2 linked regions of the Macaca fascicularis genome follow. The protein of the gene in region 1 binds, or shares a complex with, the protein of each later gene. Links are inferred from orthologs where the notes say so. Each region holds a gene or a part of one and is shown in the gene's direction. Other genes may lie near its edges.

Region 1 (3,562 bases):
ATGAAGAAAAGTTTTTATTTGTGTGCTTGTCCTGTTATTTATTTGTGATTAATTTGGAAATAAAATAGTTACAATCTGCATTTTTAAAGGCTATTTGCTATATATTATCATAGTATGGTACACAAAGATTGTCCTAACACTGTATATTCTAAATCTTGTTAATTTTTACTATTTTCATAGATGGAACATATTACACATTATTATTTTAATTTAGCATTTATTATTTTTACTTACATAACTATTGGCGTTCATGTTTTACTACTTTTGGGTTACAAAAGCTTACATACTGCCAACTAGGGGCTTACCGAGGCTAACTCACATATCAGATGATGTAAATATTTCCTTCAGTTTGTCACTGATATTTCATCTTCATTTACAAAAATATATATATATATTGGTCTTGAAGTTTAACACTTTTACTTATCAGATCTATCAATTTTTTATAGGGCCATAATCAGTCTGAGATAATAAATTTGTAGTTTTTCCTAGGAAAACTAGTGTTTTAAGTTTGGAATTGTCTTATGTGGCTAGAAAATTAAGAAATAGTCAAACCACTCTAACCTCAATTAGGATAGATTAATAAGTTAACATAACTCAAATTAGGATAATGCTCACTTTTAGTCTATATTAACCTGAGTTTTATTATAAATTTTTTCCTTTTTCTCATTAAAATATTTTCTCTTTGTCTGCTACTGTTCTTTTGATGTATACCTTCAGAAACTGGCAAGGTTAAAATTTGAAAGAATATTCAATTTAGATTTTTTTTCTGTATTTTGCCTTCACTAATGATAATGATTCAGATATCATGTTAGAAATGATTTGAGATATCAAGGTTTTAAAATTTTTAATAAAAGTAAACAGTATTCATTAATACAGGAAATCATTTTATTGAAACTGAATGAGGACTTCAAATTTTTATAACAGCTTAAAATGTTTTTTTTAGATAAGTGATGAAGAGAAGACTCTTCGAGAACAGGAGATTATTGCCTCATCACCAAATTCGAGTGGATCTAAGGTGGTGTTGGAGTCCATTTATAAGGTATGTAAACATGTAAAATACTTCCTAGGTTTTGTTAAATATGTCACATTAAGCTTTATATACATATTTAATTAATCCATTTTTATAGCCTCTCATCACCACAGCTATTGCGTCTCTTGCACAGATACTGTCCTCATTGCACTAATGGTGTGCCAGTGTTCTCTGCTGGGCTGTCTCCTTCCACAGACGCATTCCCAACCCTGCTTGGGCTCTGACTTCCCCCTACAGGCTGTTTTCCTAAAGGAAACCCTTCTCACATTGTTTGGGTCCTTACACCCTGCACTGGGCTGTCCCCTGCCAGGAAACCCTCATCACCCATTTGGCCCAACACTCTGTTTGGATTGCTGCCTTGCGTGGAAGCCCCTTTCGCTTCTCTTGGCCTCTGACATTGTGGTGTCTTGCCTCATGGTCTCTGGCATTCCACTGGGCTCTGGCATTGTAAGCCTACTTTTTTCCTATGGGAATGCCCTCCTTAACCTACTCAGATTCCATCATCCAGTGCTGGGCCACCCCAGTTTCCCCTCCCCACTCAGTGTGGTAACTACTTCACATGAACCCTTCCAGAAGGGGAAGAGGGATGAGTTTAAATTCATTTTACAATTTGATAACTGTAACCCCACAATTTCCTTTGAAAAGAATGTGCTAATTATTATGAGTGAGTGCCAGTAGTTTAAAATCCTGCCCCATTCCAGCTTCTTTGTTTCGACTGTTGGGCCATCATTCAGTCAGCCTTTTAAGCTTAGAGTGTGGGGATCAATATTTATTTCTCTTACACCACACATTTCCAGTTACTCTGCCTTCACGTCATCTTTTGCTTCTACTTGGGCATTTTTATTTCCTCTGTGACCACCTTAATAAGCTAGAATCATGGAATATTATGGCTAAAGAATCCCTAAGGGTCAGTTAGCCTATCTCTTCCTCCCCTCTCTCAGTTTTACAGATCTGGCTGCCGAGATTTAGAGGCATTCATTAAATTCACCAAATAAGTCTAGTCAGTATCAGAGCTTGGACTAGAACTCATGTTTCTTCTCTATATTATTGCAGTAAACCCTCTTACCTGCTCCTCTAATATGTCCTATCTAAGCTACCTATTTGGTGCAGTATCACACAGTTCTATCCTGTAGGGCTGTTTGACTTTCCATGTGTGCCCATGAGGGCAGGGACTGTGTTGTAGTTGTAGAAATCGGTAAATTAATTGAAAGTTGTTAAAAAACACATGATCTGTTTATAGTGTGCGATGTCGTTGGATATACAGAAAATTGTATGCATTTATATTTAATTCTTCCTTAAAACTTGAATGAATAGGCAATTTGGGAGTCATTTTTCACCTACTTTTTAAACCTCGTTTTTTTAAAAAAGAAAAACTATTGGAGAGTAAGAATGATTTTTACAGTTTACTAATATCATACTTTGCTCATTTCAGAATTTTAGGATTGTTCATGGGGTTTAAAAATCTAAGATTTTAAAAAATAAATACTTGGGGCAAATGCTTATTTTAATAGCAAAACCGAATGCTTATTATTATTTCCATTTCTTAGTATTGAGATTAGCTTTCTCAATATATTTCTCTGGAGTGCGAATGGAAACGTAGATGAAGAAACTGGAATTACTTTACTTACAAGTAATTTTCAGCACTGAATATGTTGTTTACAAATTAGGATTCTCTCTGATGCAGAATACGGTGTGGGATATGTGAGGTGAATGCAACATGTGTAGAAGTCTTGGGGATTATGTTTTGTAAATTCAGAGGTTAAGGAATAAAAGAAAGTATTCCAACTTGGCCTTTTAGTGTTACTATTTTTCAAAACATAACTCTGAAACGAACATATTTTTGTACTGCCACTCTTTGCTAGTGCTGTTGAGTTTTAAGGAGGATAAATTAATCATTTTGTTATTCTTTTGGCTCTGCTAGGACTAATGAATTTCTTTGTTTATACTTTATACATATGAAGACTTAGGAGGATTTCTTAATGACAGGTGCTGACTTATTTTCCTTGTTTCACTCTTAATTCAGATCCCTTTTGCTGATGCTCTGGATTTGTTTCGAGGAAGGAAAGTCTATTTGGAAGATGGCTTTGCTTACGTACCACTTAAGGACATTGTGGCAATCATCCTGAATGAATTTAGAGCCAAACTGTCCAAGGCTTTGGCAGTAAGTATTTTACTTTATTTCCATATTTGACATGTTCACACTTTCAGTTATATACCCTTGGTAGTTTTGTTCTGTGTTTCTCTAGGAAATAAGTTAATTCAGTTTTCATAATGATATTCAGGTTACTTATGATATTGTACTATTAATCCCAAAACTCCTAGGTTTTTATTTGTTACTACTCATAGTTGGTTTTTAAGTTTTTTTTCTTGATCCTACTAATACCAATGCTGAGTGATTAATTTTGTCAGTAACCTCTGTGAGTTTCTTCATGGTCATGTCTTTTTTCCTTTGAAATAGACTTCATATATGGCTCTTAACAATTAATGTGGCCTGTGCTAGATATAACTCCTAGATTTCTGTTCTGAATTAGT
Region 2 (4,019 bases), on another chromosome or scaffold:
GCCTTAACTAGTATCTTACAGCTTCCTTAATTTTGTCACAGCTTCTAACATAGGTCCAACCAAAGAAAGCCAAACATCCACCCCTAAACCAATCACATTCCGCATCCTACTACTCGTTAGCCCAGGTACAGCTTCTCCATGCCAACACCCTCCAATCAAAGAACACCTTGACGGCTTCCCTTTTTCATAAAGCTTTCCTACTCCTCTGCCTGCCTTTGAGTCCCTACCAAATGCAAGTGATGATGGCTGACTCCCTTGCTATAGTAAGCTCTGAATAAATAGCCTATGCTTTTCTCATTTGGTTGATATTTGCTTATTTCCACATATTGGATCTAGTAATTCACGAAATTCCATGCAGAACTAATTTCCAAAACTTTTTTTTTTAGACACGGTCTCCCTCTGTTGCCCAGACTGGAGTGCAGCGGCACTATCACGGCTCCCAACAGCCTTGACCTCCCAGGCTCATGCGATTGATCGCGCCCCGCCCCGCCCCGCCCCGCCCCGCCCCCCCGCCGCTCCCAGCCCGCCTGCCCCGCCCCAGCCTCTGGGGCTGCTGGGACTACAGGCGCACGCAACTACATCTGGCTAGGGGGGGTGTGTGTGTGTTTGTTTGTGTACAGACAGATCTCACAAAGTTGCCCCGAACTACATCTGGCTAGGGGTGTGTGTGTGTGTGTGTGTGTGTGTGTGTGTGTGTGTGTGTGTGTTTGTGTAGAGACAGATCTCACAAAGTTGCCCCGAACTACATCTGGCTAGGGGTGTGTGTGTGTGTGTGTGTGTGTGTGTGTTTGTGTAGAGACAGATCTCACAAAGTTGCCCCGAACTCCTAGCCTCAAGCGATCCTCCTGCCTTTGCCTCCCAAAGTGCTGAGGTTACAGGCATGAGTCACCGCGCCGGCCTCCAAACGTTTTTAAAAGATACTGGTGCTATTTCTAAAACATCCAAAAAGTTCGCGTGGAACATCCTTTTTACTTCACCTTAATAACCTAAATCAGCATGCTATAGGTCTCGCATTTCCGAAGATCTTCTTCCTGGAATGGACACGACCTTCTGCCCACAAGAGCGATGGCCCTGGTGCCCGAGCGCGTGTGCAGAGCGTCAACTGCTGCGTCTCCCGCAGTCCCCGCCCGCACCAAGTGGAAACTACAATTCCCGGCGGCCCCGGCAGACGGCGGGCCGCAACCCGGGCTGGCAGCTGGCCTCCGCCCTAGGCGCCTGCGCAGTAGCGGAGCCGCACGGCCGCGATGTTCCCGCCAATTCCTGTGGTAGTCCTGACTGTGTCGAGTTCAGCGCTCAATGGAGACGTTTGACCCCACCGAGCTGCCCGAGCTGCTTAAACTTTATTACCGGAGGCTCTTTCCCTACTCTCAGTACTATCGCTGGCTCAACTACGGCGGAGGTGACGGAGGCGAGGAATGGGGTCGGGAGCGGAGTGTGAGGAGGTTTGAGGCGGGGTGTCCTTAGAATGACAATATGAAGCGCCTTCTGTGCGCCAGGCTTTGTGCCGCGCGCCTTCATTTGCTCTCTGGAGCCCGCCCCACCACTTCCTAGGTGTAAATGGGCTGAAAGAGGATATAATAGCCAGCCTGCGGCCACACGGTAAAAAAAAAAAAAAAAAAAAAAAAAAAAACAGAGCCACCGCTCCTACCTCTGCGTGGTCAAGCTCACATTAGGTGCCCCGTTTACCTGCCGCGGTGCCCAGGGGGTTACTGGGGTGTAGCGTGAAGCTGCAGAGACATAGTTTGCATCAGGAGCGGAAGAGCCTCCTGCAGAAGAGAAATACTTTCTTCCTTGCAGCTGAATTTATTAGTGCGAATCGAGGAGGGAGGGGTGGCGTTACATATTTAAAATAGTTATGCATCTGTTTCGTCTTTTGTACCTTTTCCTAGCAAATATGGAATGGTAACTGCTTTCAAATTAGAGACTAGTTCTTGGGGATTTTGTTTTGTTTTTTTTTTTACATCTACCATGGTGTTGAGCATAGGGGGCTCATTAAAAACATCTTCTCGGGCCGAGTGCCGCGGCTCACGCCTGTAATCCAGCACTTTGGAAAGCCGAGGAGGACGGATTACCTGAGGTCAGGAGTTCGAGACCAACCTGGCCAACATGGTGAAACCCGGTCTCTACAAAAATTATCTGGGCGTGGTGGCTCGCGTGCCTGTAGTCCTAGCTACAGCCTCCAGAGGCTGAGGTGGTAGGATCCCTTGAACCCGGGAGGCGGAGGTTGCAGTGAGCCTATATCGAGCCCCTGCACTTCAGTCTGGGCGATAGTGCAGGAAGCGAGATACCCTTTCCGAAAAAAAAAAAACTTCTCATTGGCTAAAGTTATAATGTCTTGAGCCAAATACAGTAGCAAATTAACTTTAAAATGTACATTTATTTTGCAGTGATAAAGAATTACTTTCAACACCGTGAATTTTCATTCACATTGAAAGATGATATTTATATTCGCTACCAATCCTTCAACAACCAGAGTGATCTGGAAAAGGAGATGCAGAAAATGAATCCATACAAGATTGATATAGGCGCAGTATATTCCCACAGAGTAAGAAATCTTTTTTTGATGTATTTTGTTGTTGTATTTTCTATACCAAGAATGGGTTGATTCCGCTTGCGTTTTGAGATTAAAGTTTTAGAGTTTATTCTAGATGAAAAGCCACTTTTTAATTGTTTGGCAAGTGATTAATCCTTTTTTGTTCTTTGACATTCTACATTACTGATGAAATCATTTGGGAGTGAATTGGTTGCATTCTTACTAGGACAAAAAAATTGAGTAACTGGCTACTAGGAAGAGGAAGTCGACATGATTTAAGAAAGGGAAATAGGCCGGGCGCGGTGGCTCAAGCCTCTAATCCCAGCACTTTGGGAGGCCGAGATGGGCGGATCACAAGGTCAGGAGATCGAGACCATGCTGGCTAACACGGTGAAACCCTGTCTCTACTAAAAAAATACAAAAAATTAGCCGGGCGAGGTGGCGGGCGCCTGTAGTCCCAGCTACTCGGGAGGCTGAGGCAGGAGAATGGCGTGAACCCGGGAGGCGGAGCTTGCAGTGAGCTGAGATCCGGCCACTGCACTCCAGCCTGGGCGACACAGCGAGACTCCGTCTCAAAAAAAAAAAAAAAAAAGAAAGGGAAATAATTAGCCAGGCGTGGTGGTACGCGCCTGTAATCCCAGCAACTCAGGAGGCTGAGGCAGGAGAATCGCTTGAACCCGGGAAGCAGAGGTCGCAGTGAGCCGAGATCGCGCCATTGCACTCCAGTCTGGGGGACAGAGCGAGACTTGGCATCAACGAAAAAAAAAAAGAGGGAAATAAAAGAGAATTACATTCTCTCCCACCTTGGAAGTTACTCCCTTTTTTTTTTTTTTTTTCTTTTTTTTTTGATACTGAGCCTCGCTCTGTCACCCAAGCTGAAGTGCAGTGGCACAATCTCTGCTCACTGCAAGCTCCGCCTCCCAGGTTCACGCCATTCTCCTGCCTCAGCCTCCCGAGTAGCTGAGACTACAGGCGCCCGCCACCACACCCGGCCAATTTTTTCTATTTTTTAGTAGAGACTGGGTTTAACCGTGTTAGCCAGGATGGTCTCGATCTCCTGACCTCATGATCCACCCATCTCGGCCTGCCAAAGTACTGGGATTACAGGCGTGAGCCACCACACCCGGCCTCTTTTTTTCTTTTAATTGTTTATTTTTATTGAGGTAAAATATACATATAAAATTATTATCTTTACCACGTTTAAGTGTACAGTTCAGTCATAATAAATATTTGTATTATTTTTCTTTCATACCCCTGGAGTTATTCTTGATTCCTCTCTTTCTCACACTCCCATACCCATTCTATTAGGAAATCCCTTTGGCTCTACCATAAGTATATCTAAAATCCAGCCACTACTACCAGTGCTACCAACATTATCATCTCATCTGAATTACTGTAAAAACCTCCTAACAGTTTGCCCTTGTAGAATCTAGAGTCCATTCTCAATACGGAACCTAGAGTGATCCTTTTAAAACAACTCAGAATC

Evidence for each region. The genes of interacting proteins can lie anywhere in the genome.
Region 2: the proteins of PRIM2 (region 1) and PRIM1 are in contact, whole or in part, in a crystal structure (PDB 5EXR), measured with the Homo sapiens proteins. The link is inferred for Macaca fascicularis from reciprocal best matches to the Homo sapiens genes PRIM2 and PRIM1. Residues at the interface, in NP_000938.2 of Homo sapiens: Glu165, Ala168, Ser169, Pro171, Ser172, Phe188, Ala189, Leu192, Phe195, Arg196, Gly197, Arg198, Val200, Tyr201, Leu202, Glu203, Asp204, Gly205, Phe206; in NP_000937.1 of Homo sapiens: Lys147, Glu148, Asp149, Phe150, Gly151, Phe152, Ala180, Val181, Gly184, Ile185, Glu187, Tyr188, Ser190, Leu191, Lys193, Lys207, Ile208, His209, Pro210, Ile212, Arg213.

What each region holds. Positions count from the first base shown.
Region 1 is NC_088378.1:114,362,287-114,365,848, reverse strand, and holds part of PRIM2 (DNA primase large subunit), read left to right. Parts: intron 1-943; coding exon 944-1,039; intron 1,040-3,053; coding exon 3,054-3,191; intron 3,192-3,562. UniProt on the Homo sapiens protein: Regulatory subunit of the DNA primase complex and component of the DNA polymerase alpha complex (also known as the alpha DNA polymerase-primase complex) which play an essential role in the initiation of DNA synthesis.
Region 2 is NC_088385.1:63,560,937-63,564,955, reverse strand, and holds the start of PRIM1 (DNA primase small subunit), read left to right. Parts: upstream 1-1,219; 5' UTR 1,220-1,296; coding exon 1,297-1,399; intron 1,400-1,648; exon of another isoform or gene 1,649-1,777; intron 1,778-2,387; coding exon 2,388-2,545; intron 2,546-4,019. UniProt on the Homo sapiens protein: Catalytic subunit of the DNA primase complex and component of the DNA polymerase alpha complex (also known as the alpha DNA polymerase-primase complex - primosome/replisome) which play an essential role in the initiation of DNA synthesis.